Linked DNA regions of Stegostoma tigrinum. The protein of the gene in region 1 interacts with the protein of each later gene in a pairwise test. Links are inferred from orthologs where the notes say so. Each region holds a gene or a part of one and is shown on either strand. Other genes may lie near its edges.

Region 1 (7,137 bases):
GTGCATTTATTTTTGCTTGGGGCTGTTGTGAAATGCTCCCCGCGTAGTTAGCAATGGATGAAACACTAAAAACGTTGCGTGGCGTTAAAAACGCAGAAGACTGGGTGTAATGCCCATTCAATGTGGCAAAATACAGTATATGACACTCTAGGGTCCCTCACTGAAATTAACCCATATATTTAGATTACACTTTTGGATTTAACAGCTTCCCTCATTGTTCTCCTGCATAATTGCATCCCATCCCCAAGACCTCCCTTTCTGACCAGGGACGTTGGGAAAGTGGCAAACTGCATTGCTGGTTCAGGATATCTCCTTGCGTGAAATGTTCAGTAAGTTTTGGGCAGTACAACTTTTTTTTCACCTGATCCAAGGTCTTCCAGCAGCAGTTGGTGTATGCCTCAGTGTTTATCCCTTGACTCAAGGTCCTAAATAACAGAAGCTCCGTCTTACAGTGTTATTTGGGATTACCTTACCAACAAAACACTACATCTTTTTCTCAGAGATAGTAAGAACTGCCGATGCTGGAGTCAGAGATAGAACAGCGTGGAGTTGGAGGGGCACAGCAGGCCAAGCAGCATCAGAAGAACAGGAAAGTTGACGTTTCTGGTCAGAAGGAGGGTCCCGACGCCAAACCTCAAATTTTCGGCTCCTCTGATACTGCCTGGCCTGCATCTCTTACTCACTAGACTTTGCAAATATAAATGCCAGAAGGGTACTATCAGGACAGCATGGGGTGACTCCGTAATACCGTTTAGGCAGGAAAGATCTGACGGGGAGGACACCCTCAGCCAAGGTATCACTTTGTAGGTGGGGGGGGGGGGTGCATTAGCTCGGTTGGCTGAACGGTTGCTGTGTGATGGCAACAGAGTGGGTTCAATTCCAGCGCCGGGTGAGGTTACTATGAAGGACTCTCCTTCTCAATCCCTCCTCTCGCCTGAGGCATGGTAACCCTCAGGTTAAACCATCAGCATTTGCACCTCTGGAATGAGAGAGCAGCACTATACTCCAGCAAATTTGCCTTTTATCACGTGGTGCTCGTTTGGTAGACCTGGCAATGGAGTGGTGGTTCTGCCCAATGACTATCAGTCTCTTCAGAAGCCATTCAGCAGGACCCTATTGACTTGTTTTCTTTACCTGCACTGACTTCTTTTTTGACTGATAAGGGGTATGACACAGTCCAGCTGAGAAACATGTTGGTGACAATATAGCCAGAGCAATGTTTCATTTTCCTTGCCTTTGGGTAAATTTAGAAACATAAACCATGGATAGTGCATTTTAAAACCTGTATAGACACCACGGGTTGGAGTGTCGTCCTCTTTTTCTCACCAAATGGTGTGAAGCCCGTGTAATGTGTAGTTTGAAATCAGACTGCAACCAGACTCCAAGAGGAATGGTATCTACCTTTATGTTACCGCAGAGATGCAGTTCCCAGAAACGTTAACCACCTCAATTCGCTACAAAAAAGTGTTCCGGAAGCCATGGTGTTATCGAGGAACTGTTTAGTCCGGGAGGGCTCTCAGTGCCATCAGATTTCAGAACCTGATGCCAACCTTAAAACAAAGGCAAAAAAAAACTGGGAATGCTGGATATCTGAAAGTAAAATAAAAAATCAATGTACTAGAGAAACTTAGCAGCTACGGCTGCATCCGTTTGGAGAGAAATAAGAGTTCACGGTTCGGAGTCAATATCAATCTTCAGCAAACTGCATTTCTGAAGAAGTCATGCTGGCTAAGACAATAAGTCACAGGAGCAGAAATTAGGCCATTCAGCCCATCATGGATGATCAGCTTCGCCACCCCATTTTCCCGCTTTCTCCCCGTAGCCCTTGATTCCCTTCACAGTCAAGAACTTATCCATCTCTGTATTAAATACACTCATTGACTTGGCCTCCACAGCCTTCTGTAGCAGTGAGTTCTGTAGATTCAGCACTCTCTGGCTGGAGAAGTTTCTCTTTATCTCCGTTCTAAAGGGTCTTCCCTTTACTCTAACGCTTATAAAGGATTATAAAAAAGTGAAGGGCATGGAAAGGGTGATTAGTGAAGGTCTTTTCCTCAGGTCAGGGGTGTCCAAAAGTAGACATAAGTTTAAGATGTGAGGCGAAAGATTTAAAATGTACTTAAGGGGCAATATTTTCACACAGAGGGTGGTGCATGTATGGAATGAGTTGCCAGAGGATGTGGTGGAGGCTGGTACAATTACAATAGTTAGAAGGCATCTGGATGGGTACATGAATAGCAAAGGTTTAGAGGAATATGTGTCAAATGCTGGCAAATGGGTCTAGATTAGTTTAGCATATCTGGTCGGCATGGAGGAGTTGCTCCGAAGCATCTGTTCCTGCTGTACATTTCTATGACTGGAAATTGTAACTTGTGTTTCTCTGTTCATAGATCTAGGTCCAGCGGCGTTTACTACTTGGAACCGAACGCCGTTTTTTCAGCATTAGTTGAGGCTTACCACGGGGATTGTAGTTTGTAATTACCGATGCAGCGCACTGGTCTTCTTCCCGCGTGTCCTTAGCCACTGACTTCCGCAACGTTGCTGCAAAAAAAATGCCAGTGTAGGTCATCATCAGTATTTGGGTGAAATCGACTCCATTCAAGGAAATTGTCAAACTTGATCCATTGCCGTGTTTCAGATTCAGTTATAAATGCACCGTCCATGTGCGGAAACTGCACATCAAAACGGATTCATTTTTGTTCGAGCGTGAATGCAAGGGAAGAGAGGTACGGCAGAGGTTCTCTACAATTTGTGACTGTCTTTCTACTTGAAATGTGCCAACCCCCCCTAAAAAAACACAATGAGGGAAGTAAAAAAAACACTCCCTATTCAAATGATTCTTAACTTCTGCTGGGAAGGTGTTTGCATTTCGACTGTACATTGTGAAATACTTTCACTGTTTAGTATGTATCAATAACTGAGCTAAATGGTGCCATGTTGAAAATTGTTTTAAATTCCCGTCTAAACGTTGCTAAAAAAAAGTTTCAAAGTAAAACGGCTTTCCGGAATTAAGAGGAAAAAATGCGCATTGAATGACGTGCTATAATTTACCCAAGAACGTTCTGATATTGGTTGTTAAAGTTTTTGTAAATTGTTACCATAACACAGTGTGACTTGCAGCAGACCCGATGTGTAATACAGCAGACTGGGTTGACTGGTTCTGCCGAAACTCTGACTGACACATTTACCATATGAAAAGATAAACAGCGTCCATCAATGTCAGAAAACCAAAACCACAGACTCATTCGTACCGTAAACCTTGGATGCTATCTGTCGAGCTCATTCGAGCGAGAAACATTTCTTGATCCGCCCTCCTTGTCTGCCCTTCCCAGGCGTTGGGAGCAGGCTGCCTCATTGATAGCCGCGAGCACGGTGAGGACTCGGAAATAAATGTAAAAACAAGCTTTCGCTCATTGTGAAAAGCAGCAGCAGTTACAGGTAATGGCACATCAGCCATGCTGACAGCTACACCGGCCTTGCAATTGGCATAAGTACGCAGCTCGAGACCTCCCCACATACACTATTAAAATCGCAAAGCAGAGCTCTCATGCTTTTGAAGAGCGGAGCATAGCACAGAGACTAAACAATTGGTCGCAGATTGGATATCGCGCCTCAGTTATTTGCTGTTTATTTGCCTGATTTCGCCCATAGAACCAATGTTCGGGCCGTTCACTGGCGGTTTTGTTTGTTGACTGGTTATTTCGGGGTAATGGGGATGTGTAAATATTCGCCCGGAAAGTGTCTCCTACTGGTGGCAAGGGCAACTAACTAAGCATTGAGACCCCACGCGCACCCACCGGTCGCACACCTATCTCCATGGAGGAGATCATTTTCCCAGCACGGGGAACAGTAATCATAAAATAGGTTTGTGGTGGGTGACAATCTATTTTCTACAGTTGAAATGTCCTTTTAAAATGCACTGCACTGGATATGTTCCGAATTCAGCGCGCTGCTGACCCAGTGGCTGCCAAGGAGTTTACTCCTTGGAGGCGGGGTGGGGGGTTGGGTTGGTGTGCGGGGAGGTACTAAAAAACGCAGCTACCAGATACTCTCACCATTGAAGTGTAGGGAGTCTGTGGACCTAGATGAACCAGCTTGATTTACTCCTTGTGTGCCTTTGTCTCTCTACACCATGGACGGTGGGAAGACAAGCCTTGTGTTTTAACAAGGTGGACATATCAATGAGTCGATTGAAAAAAAGTAGTTAAACCTGGATAGGGGATGCAATATTGATGCCTCTCGTCAGACTGGTTTCAGAGAGGCAATATTCATTTTTAAAACATGAATTAGGCAGAGATTATAGCTACTTGTCAGCTTTGGCATGTCCATTATGTAAGGAGGGAGGGGTTTGTGTCAGTTCTGACATGGATCATTTTGGTTAAGTCAGACTGTATGAAATCGACCCTTGATCTCTTGTTGTTGTTTCTGGGACTGGATTTGTGTTTTTGCCGGGCAGGGGTTTGTTGTTGAATGGGACATGTGGTCTACACCTTGATGTTCGATCACACCAACAGGGTAGGTGTCTCTTTAAATTCCCTTTGCAGTTTCTGTAGAACTTGGCGTTGCCGTTTTAAGAGCACTTTGAAGTCTCCATTTGGTCAGTTCCTTGGCCTCCGGGTCTGACATCTCGGCTAATGAAATTCCCTGATAACTGGTCTGGAAGGGTTGATGGACTAACAGATAAATCCCTTAATTTCTTTAAACGGGTCTTCAGCCGTTCCGGTGTGAAAGGCGGTTTAATGATCAGTCAGACTTCAGATGAAAGGGAAGCCAGAGGGTTAATGAATGAGCGATTTCCTGCGCAAATGAAACCAGCCAAAGAGCCACAGGTCGCCCCAAAGGAACATTCAAAGAGACAGGACAGCAACAAAGGAAACGCCTGTACTTCGTAATGCATATACTGTACTCAGGATGAACGGAAGAGGTTCATGTGTTCTGCCAGATTATTAAATGTATCATTAAAATACGCGGGCGAACACACGCACTGCATCTCTCTATATAAACAAACAGGCTGTCCCACTTTGCAGCTCAAATTCGCTTAACGATTACAACCAGGAATCATTTAATATTCCTCATAAATTATTCCTGAAGACATTTAGTGTAGGTTCCCCGCCCCATTCAGAAAGTTCCGTGGATTGGCATTAACATTCTCAGCATGAATACGGTGGCAGGAGACAGTTGTTTTGGTGCATTCAAATGACTGGAGCTACAACAAAGAGGCGTTTAGGAAGTCGGGATTTCCCCCCAGTGTGATCTGAACACAAAAGCATTATCTAAGGGTAGGAGCTGCTGGAAATGTTCAGCTCCTTAGTACCTGGACTTTCAATATTCCGATGCACGGTTTCTATTTTTTGTTGGTAAGTAAAAAAGCCCAAACATAGTTAAAAAAAACTAAAATACTTGTATGTGTTCAGTAATGGCCTTTGAAAGCGAGATTTCGTCGTTGCGGGTCTCTTTTTTGATGAATGTTTCCTCTGCCTCTTTTGAAAACCACATTCGTTTTTCTCATCTGAAAGCTTTCTCTGTATAATGGGAACCAGCAGGATGCGATAGAGGGAGAATTGCACTGAATTCCGGTCTGCGGTTTATTTTACAAATGAATAATAAAGCCGCCGAGGGCCCAAGGCAGCGTGAGGGGCTCAGATGATTTTTCTCCAATGGCTCGTTTAGCAATGAGGAACATTTTATTTTGCTCGTAGAACACGGATAGGGGTCTGCGTGTGTGTTTGTGTGTGCGAGAGTATGTTTTGTGTGCTTCGACAGCCAAGATACAAAATGTGTATTTTCTTAAATCTCGCTGAGTAAGAATATGGTGAGAACTGCAGCAGAATTGATACACGACTCTAACAGGAAATAATGTTTACGTTTAATGTTTCAATACAGTTTCTTCAATGCTTAACGTTACTATGAAACAGAACGTAACTAATTTAGTCTGGCATATGCATTATATGATTCGTGGTAAATTGCAGGGGAGGTTGTACGGGGAAATCTAAGTGAAATGAATTACAAGCACCCAACGCGACAGCGATTGTCTCTGGTCGGATGCGCCGCTTCCTCCGATCCAATTAGCGGGACACTACCCACCTATCTGCTCTCAGCGGCAACCAGAGTCCCCAGGCCCGACCAATCCGCTTCCTGGGAACAAAGGAAAGGGGCGGGGAAGAAGGCGGGATCCTCACACCTTTATCCAATCAGAACCCACTAACCGGGGCCGGCTTCGGCCCAGCCAATCAATGCTGACCGGATGCGCCGTATCCTCTTCGTTTCACCCCCCCCATACCCCCGGACACGGGGACCAATCGGCGGCGTTGGAATGCGCCCTTGCGGCTAATGAGCCGCAGTGGAATGCGAGCTGGCGACCAATGATGGTGTGTGTTTGTGCGGGGCTAGCGGTGGAGGGGACGGGACGAGCGGTCGCCAGTGCCACTGAGGACAATTGGAAAGCGGACGGCGCCGCTACGGCTGTTATAAAGAGGAATTGTGCCGAGATTTAGCTTACCACAATAACAGTGCATAGGAGCAAAGCTTCACTGATAGTCATTCACACACACATATACATAGGCAGCAGAGTTTTGGCACAAGGTTGGGAGCTCAAACTCTTTCAACACCTACAGCAATCAGGACCAGGGCAAACCGATGCACCCAGAGACCGTGCGTTACAGGTGACACCTTCCGTGTGTGGCAACCAAGGTGCAGAAATAAAAGTCTTTGCGGAGAGCTTGACTGGTGGCCAAACAAGGAGACGGCCTTGGCGACAAACCCCCACCGACAGCGTGCTGCGGGAAGCGCCGCTGAGGAAATCACCCGAAGGACGCTGCAGCGAACGGGGCCAGAGCGCGGAGTGGAGTGCGCCGCGAGTGGTTGGCAGCACCGCCACCCATCCCCGCCCCCCGCCCCCGCGGCACGTCTGCATCTCGGGGTCAGTGCAGCGTGGGCTCCTGCTCCTTTTAGCTTCACAAGTTGCCCTCCCGTTCAGTCTTGTTTTCGGTTCGACGACGCGTCTTCTAAATATACATTTGGCTGATATAAGGCTCGAATCTGGATTTACCTTGGAAAAGACTTGGCTAAGGCAGTAATAAAATGGATTTGTATTTGGTGGATATATGGAAATAGGTAAGATCCCTCTATTTTATAGTTTAT
Region 2 (6,931 bases), on another chromosome or scaffold:
GGGTTTAATGGGTCCTTTTGAAATTGGCAAACAGTAACCAGTGGGGTGCCTCAAGGATTGGTGCTGGGACCCCAGCTATTCACAATGTATATTAATGATTTGGATGAGGGAACAAAATGTAACATCTGCAAGTTTGCAAATGATTCCAAGTGGGGTGGGAGGGTGAACTGTGACAAGGATGCAGAGATCCTTCAACATGATCTCGACAGGTTGGGTGAGTGTGCAAATCAATGGCAGATGCAGTATAATTTGGATAAATGTGAGGTTATTCATTTCAGAAGCAAAAACAAGAAGGCAGATTATTACCAGAATGACTATAAATTGGGAGGGAAGTGTGCAGTGGGACCTGGGTGTCCTTGTGCACCAATCGCTGAAGGTAAGCATGCAGGTGGTAAAGAAGGCAAATGGGATGTTGGCCTTCATTGTGAGAGGTTTCAAGTCCAGGAGTTGCAGTTATACAAAGCCTTGGTGAGGCCACACCTAGAATATTGTGTGCAGTTTTGGTCTCCTTTTCTAAGGAAGGATGCTCTCACTCTTCAGGGAGTGCAGCGAATGTTTACCAGGCTGATTCCAGGGCTGACAGATCTGACATAAGAGGAGAGATGGACTAGATTGGGACTGTTTTTGTTGGAGTTCAGACAAATGAGGGGGAAATTTCACAGAGACTTATAAAATTCTAACATGGCTAGATAGGGAGATGCAGGGAGGATGCTCTCAGTGGTGGGTATATCCAGAACCAGGGCTCACAATATGAGGATTTGGGGTAGACAATTCAGGATGGAATTGAGAAGATATTTCTTCACCCAAAGTATGGTGAGCCTGTGGAATTCATTACCACAGGAAGTAGTTGATGCCAAAACATTGGAAGTTTTCAAGAGGTGGCTAGATTTAGCACTTGGGGCAAATGGGATTAAAGGTTATGGGGAGAAAGCAGGATTAGGCTACTGAGTTGGGCCATCATCCATGATTGTGCAGAATGGCGGAGCAGGCTCGAAGGGCCGAATGGCCTCGCTCTGCTCCTATCTTCTATGTTGCTATAAGCTGACAATTCATGATGTCAGAAGGGCTATGCCACAAGATGTGAATTGTCATAAATTGCTGGATGCTTTGCACAATTCAGCTATTTATTCTCATAAAACAAAGCTTGAGATCAGTCCCTCTGTGAGAATCAAGAAACTGCTGGACTTGTACTGTGAGTAAGAATAAATCTCACTGAGGTCTTGTAATTAATGACATAAGGATACTGTTAGTGCTGAGATTATAGGTCTGACATGAAACCTAACCTCTCCAGTCTGGAAATAGAAAGAATTTAAGCTGTGGACTCTCAGTCCAGTTGGTTGTAAATTGTTCCTAAAGCTTATTTTTTTTGTCATAAATTTTAAGTTTCGCTTTTGTCTCCCTCTCTTAGCTCACATTCTCATTCTCTCACTTTGGGGGAGAGGCAGTTACTCTTAGAAGGAACTTCAAGCCATTCGGCACATAAGAGGACATGAGCAGGTGTTCCTCCTGACTGAGAACCCTGGAACATGGCATCCTGCCTGTAGTCATCTAGCCGGCAGTTCCAACATTCAGTCGCACCACAGAAGTTTGTGCCTACTGCTGGCACACCTGAGTCCCAGCTTCAAGGAGTGATGCTGCGAGAAAGGTGGGTGTTGTTAAGACTGGCTCACTTAGTAGGCCCCTTAGTGGGAGGGGCCACCTGGAGACAGGGGAGTGGCTCGAGGTCAGAATCTCTTTTCCTCTCTGTTTTATTTTATCAGCCATCTTGAACTTGACGTAAGAAAACCTGTATAATAATAAGTATATATTTAATAATGAAAAAGTCAATTTTGACACAAAAAACTTACATCTACACAGCACCTTTAAAGTACAATAAAAACACCTCAGGGTTATCCACAGGATACATCTTACTAATGCCCTTTATGGAAGGAAATCCACTACTTTACCTGGTTTGGCCGAGGTGTGATTTCAGATCCAGAGCAAAGGTTTCATTCCTAACTGCCCGCTGAAATGGTTTAGCAAGCCACTTGTTTTCAGGGCAATTAGGGATGGGCATTAAGTGCTGGTACAGTCATCCACACCCAAATCCTATACATGGTTATTTTCAGTCAGATGTTGTTAGAATCTTGCTGCACATTTCATGTAATAAAAGCAAAACACTGCAGATGTTGAAAATCTGAAATGAATACAGTTCTGAAGACAGCACATAAAATGTTAACTCTATTTCTCTCTCCACAGGAGTGCCGTACCTGCTGAATTTCTCCAGGCATATCTCTTCTGTTGTGAGGACAGATCTTTTCAAACAACCTGTTCAAACACCTCTGGAACAGACAGGACTTGAACCTCGGACTCCTGGCTCAGAGGCAGGGGTACTACCACTGTGCCACATAACCCTTAAAATACAAATTGTTTGCAACTTGCATTACCAAGAGAATAATGTTGATATTTTCTAATCAATCTGTTCAGAGATGTTATTACACTGATATTAATTGTTATTAGTTCTGAGGAAGGGTCACCGGACCCCCCACCAACCTCCGGATACAACATATCATCCTCCGACACTTCTGCCATCTACAATCCGACCCCACCACACAAGCTATTTTTCCATCCCCACCCTTGTCTGCCTTCCGGAGAGACCACTCTCTCCGCGACTCCCTTGTCCGCTCCACACTCCCCTCCAACCCCACCACACCCGGCACCTTCCCCTGCAACCACAGGAAGTGCACACTTGCTCCCACACCTCCTCCCTCACCCCCATCCCAGGCCCCAAGATGACCTTCCACATCAAGCAGATGTTCACCTGCACATCTGCCAATGTGGTATATTGTATCCATTGCACCCGGTGTGGCTTCCTCTACATTGGGGAAACCAAGCGGAGGCTTGGGGACCACTTTGCAGAACACCTCCACTCGGTTCGCAACAAACAACTGCACCTCCCAGTTGCAAACCATTTCAACTCCCCCTCCCATTCCTCAGACGACATGTCCATCATGGGCCTCCTGCAGTGCCACAATGATGCCACCCGAAGGTTGCAGGAACAGCAACTCATATTCCGCTTGGGAACCCTGCAGCCCAATGGTATCAATGTGGACTTCACAAGCTTCAAAATCTCCCCTTCCCCCACTGCATCACAAAACCAGCCCAGCTCGTCCCCTCCACCCACTGCATCCCAAAACCAGCCCAGCCTGTCTCTGCTTCCCTAATCTGTTCTTCCTCTCACCCCATCCCTTCCTCCCACCTCGAGCCACACCTCCATTTCCTACCTACCACCTCATTCCACCTCCTTGACCTGTCCGTCTTCCCTGGACTGACCTATCCCCTCCCCACCTATCTTCTTTTCTCTCCATCTTCGGTCTGCCTCCCCCTCTCTCCCTATTTATTCCAGAACCCTCTCCCCATCCCCCTCTGATGAAGGGTCTAGGCTGGAAACGTCAGCTTTTGTGCTCCTGAGATGCTGCTTGGCCTGCTGTGTTCATCCAGCTTCACACTTTGTCATCCGAAACATTAACTCTGTTTTCTCCTCCACAGATGCTGCCAGACCAGCTGAGCTTTTCCAGCAACTTTGCTTTTGTTCCTGTTATTACACACCTCTGGAGCTGGGACGTGAACTTGCACCTGCCAGCTCAGCGACACAAAGAACTGTTTCAAAAAAATGTTAGCAACTTCCATCATCAAAAAGATTCTATACCAACCCGCTCAGAGGTGCTGTTCCACACCCTTAGAAACATACTCTGTCGCTCAGCAATGTGCATGCTTCTCAGCAGAGGCCATATGCAATGCGGCGCAGTTACTCATCCTGCCTAGGGGGCGGCAGCGGCGGCGCCTGGCTTTCTTTTCGTGTCCCTGGGAACGCGTCTGCTTTGGCGAGGTTGCCTGTTGTATGATGGAGAGCGACTGAGTGATGGAGGCACTGAATGAATGAGTGAGTTGGAAGAAGGGAGGAGGTCTTCTTGCTGTATGGGTTTGGAGGGTAGAGGATAGGGATGATGATGATGATGATGATGATGATGGTGGTGGCGGCGGCGGCGGGGAAACCGAAGATACTCCTGGAAGCTGTACATCTCATTAAGGGCCTCAGGCCTTCCTGCAACTTAATCACAAACGTACACCGCCCCTGTTCTTTTTATCTTGGTTAAATAGCCTTCAGGAGGAAATTTGATCTCATCAAAACGTTAAATTTGCTTGCTTGTGGTTTTGATGCAATTAAAATGTATGATTTTACTTAAGTTGCATTAGCATGGTGTGAAGAAAGCACGAAACAGCCACACAGTGACTTCAATATAATAGGAAATGTGTGTGTTTTCGAAATCTTTTGGAGCAGTTGCTGTACTTAAACGTTCAAAAGGCCAAATTTGCTGCAATAATATTGTTATCTGTTGGTTGTGGTGTCTGACGTTTGATTTGTCCACTAGTTATAGTCTCAAACAAAATACGGTGGCTGTTAGAGATCTGAAAGAAGAGGAGTCATTGGATTCAGAGATAGTGGGAGCTGCCGATGCTGGAGAATCTGAGGTAACAAGGTATAGAACTGGATGAACACAACAAGCCAGGCAGCATCTGAAGAAGGGTCCAGGCCCAAAATGTCAGCTTTCCTGCTCCTCTGATGCTGCCTGGCCTGCTGTCTTCATCCAGCTCTACCCCTTGTTATCTCAAAGTCATTGGATTCAAATGTGTTAACTCTATTTCTATCGCCACAGATGTTGACAAACCCACTCCAGCATACACTGTTTTTATTTAATTAGAGTCTCACTTCAAGGTGCAATTATTACCAAGCTCTCCATATTTGGGATAAAATAATGGGAAAGTGTCGGGGATTCTCAGCGGGTACTCCAGCACCTGCGGACAGAGGAACAGATGTAATGTTTCAGGTTGATGACATTTTGCCAAAAACAAAAACAACCAGAGACGTAATGGGTTTTCATTTGAGTACAGAGACAGGGATAAGAGTGAAGAAATGAAAAGCTTGTCTAGAGGAAGTATAAATGGGAATAGCAGGATTATTGTCCATAACTGCAGTCTGAAACAGTTATTTTGTATTCATTAACGGGATGAGGGCACCGCTGGCTATGAGCATTTGTTGCCCATCCTTAATTGCTCAGAGTCAGCCACATTTCTGTGGGTCCGGAGTCACATGTAGGCCAGATCAGGTAAGGATGGCAGTTTCCTTTCCTAAAGGGCATTAGTGAACCAGATGGGCTTTTCCTGACAATTGACAATGGATTCATGGTCATCATTAGATTCTTAATTCCAGATATTTTTATTGAACTAATTTCCAATATCTGTTGTGGTGGATCTTCAATCCCAGAATGTTGTCTGAGTCTCTGGATTAACAATCAAGCGACCATACTACTAGGCCACCACCTCCCTAATAGTGGGAAAACATATATGATCTGAAGTGGTTAAACTCGATGTTGAGTATGGAAGACTGTAAAGCACTTGGAAGAAAAGATACTGGCCTTCAGCTTCTCTGGACAACTGCAGAAAACCGCAGACAATTGAAACTATGTTGGTGAATTAAAATGGCAGGTAGCCAGAATTTTGGGGTTGTGTGGACAACGTGGTATTTGGAAAGACAGTCACCCAATCTGCTTTTGCTCTTACTGGTGAAGAAGAGACTACACTAAGTGCAGTGAATCCTGTAGACTAAATTGAAAGAAGTACAAATCAGTCTTTCAGCTGGAAAATGGGTTTGGGATCTTGGTGAGTGGGAATGCACAAAGGCAGTTCTTAAGGAGAGTCATACTGGACTCGAAATGGTATTTGTCTTTCACCATTGATGCAGCCAGACTTGCTGAGTTTCTCCAGTGTTCTCTATATTTATTTAAGGCAGATACAGTCTTTCACTTACCTGGGAGAATGCCTGTGGAAGGACTGAAGGTGTTGGGGATAATTTGAAGAGTGAATCTGGGGTTGCAGGCAAGACAATCCTTTTGGAATACTGAATGTGAAAGTACAGCAAGGTGCTTTGGTGGTGGAATCACATTTGGGATAGCGTACAATGATAAATTGAATATGGAGACTGATCTATGGAAGGTGAGGACAAAAGCAACTTCGTTATGTCCAGGTATCTGCATTTTTGAATTGCACCTTTTACTAGTTGCAGTTAGTGTGAAACCAAAATGATTTGCTTCGTTTAACAATGATCTGTCACGGAACGCTATAGGTTTGGTACTCTCAGGAACTGACATTTCAGTCATGCTGCCATTTTTGCATTCCAATCATGATTTAGAAGGCAGGACAACTACATCTTTCAATTGCCGCTGAGTTTTATAAGCAAGAAAACTGTCATTTTTTGTGGGGGTGATACTCTTTACATATTGAGATGTTAAAACTTTGTTTAAAAAGTTCAATTTTTTTCTAAGAGTTCACAGGTTTGGAGGAGTTTCCAATTAAATTGTACGATCAAGCCATCAAAGATTGCACAGTGTATGGGGAAATAACCTGTAAATATGGAGCAGGGTAAGTTTCTTTCCATTTTTTAAAGACCATAATTTGTGTCATGGCTCCTGTACAGCATAACTTGAGCACGAGTTGCAGCTTCTTCGGTGCCAGATTTGCTAAACTGCAGAAAAAAGTTTGCGTGAAATTATGTTCTTGTGCAGAAAGCAACACCACTCTCGAGTAAACCCATGAAACAAATGTTTGTAAACTTGCAGTTTAAATGCTTCCCTTGGCTGATTACTGCAGGAAGCTTGCTGAATGTGGATCCTTTTAGTTTACAAAAGCAAGTTGACTTTAAAATACATTGGTTAATTAATTTTTGTATGGTGCCTGAAGGTATTGTGAGAGAGAGAGGGTGAACAGAAACTTGTAGCCACACTAACCTCACCATATCAGGAGGTCAACTGACTTGACTGAGACTAAGGCTGTGTGTTTGTGTTATTGCTACAGGTTCAATGTAATGCTTTAATGGTTTTCTGACCTGCAAGTT

Evidence for each region.
Region 2: the proteins of spry1 (region 1) and gemin4 interact in binary tests that used the Homo sapiens proteins (3 or more experiments, as listed by UniProt). The link is inferred for Stegostoma tigrinum from reciprocal best matches to the Homo sapiens genes SPRY1 and GEMIN4.

What each region holds. Positions count from the first base shown.
Region 1 is NC_081354.1:34,545,102-34,552,238, reverse strand, and holds the start of spry1 (protein sprouty homolog 1), read left to right. Parts: upstream 1-4,070; 5' UTR 4,071-4,512; intron 4,513-4,551; exon of another isoform or gene 4,552-5,354; intron 5,355-6,334; exon of another isoform or gene 6,335-7,110; intron 7,111-7,137. UniProt on the Homo sapiens protein: Inhibits fibroblast growth factor (FGF)-induced retinal lens fiber differentiation, probably by inhibiting FGF-mediated phosphorylation of ERK1/2. Inhibits TGFB-induced epithelial-to-mesenchymal transition in lens epithelial cells.
Region 2 is NC_081380.1:34,516,524-34,523,454, forward strand, and holds the start of gemin4 (gem-associated protein 4), read left to right. Parts: upstream 1-3,831; 5' UTR 3,832-3,922; intron 3,923-6,362; 5' UTR 6,363-6,449; coding exon 6,450-6,459; intron 6,460-6,931. UniProt on the Homo sapiens protein: The SMN complex catalyzes the assembly of small nuclear ribonucleoproteins (snRNPs), the building blocks of the spliceosome, and thereby plays an important role in the splicing of cellular pre-mRNAs.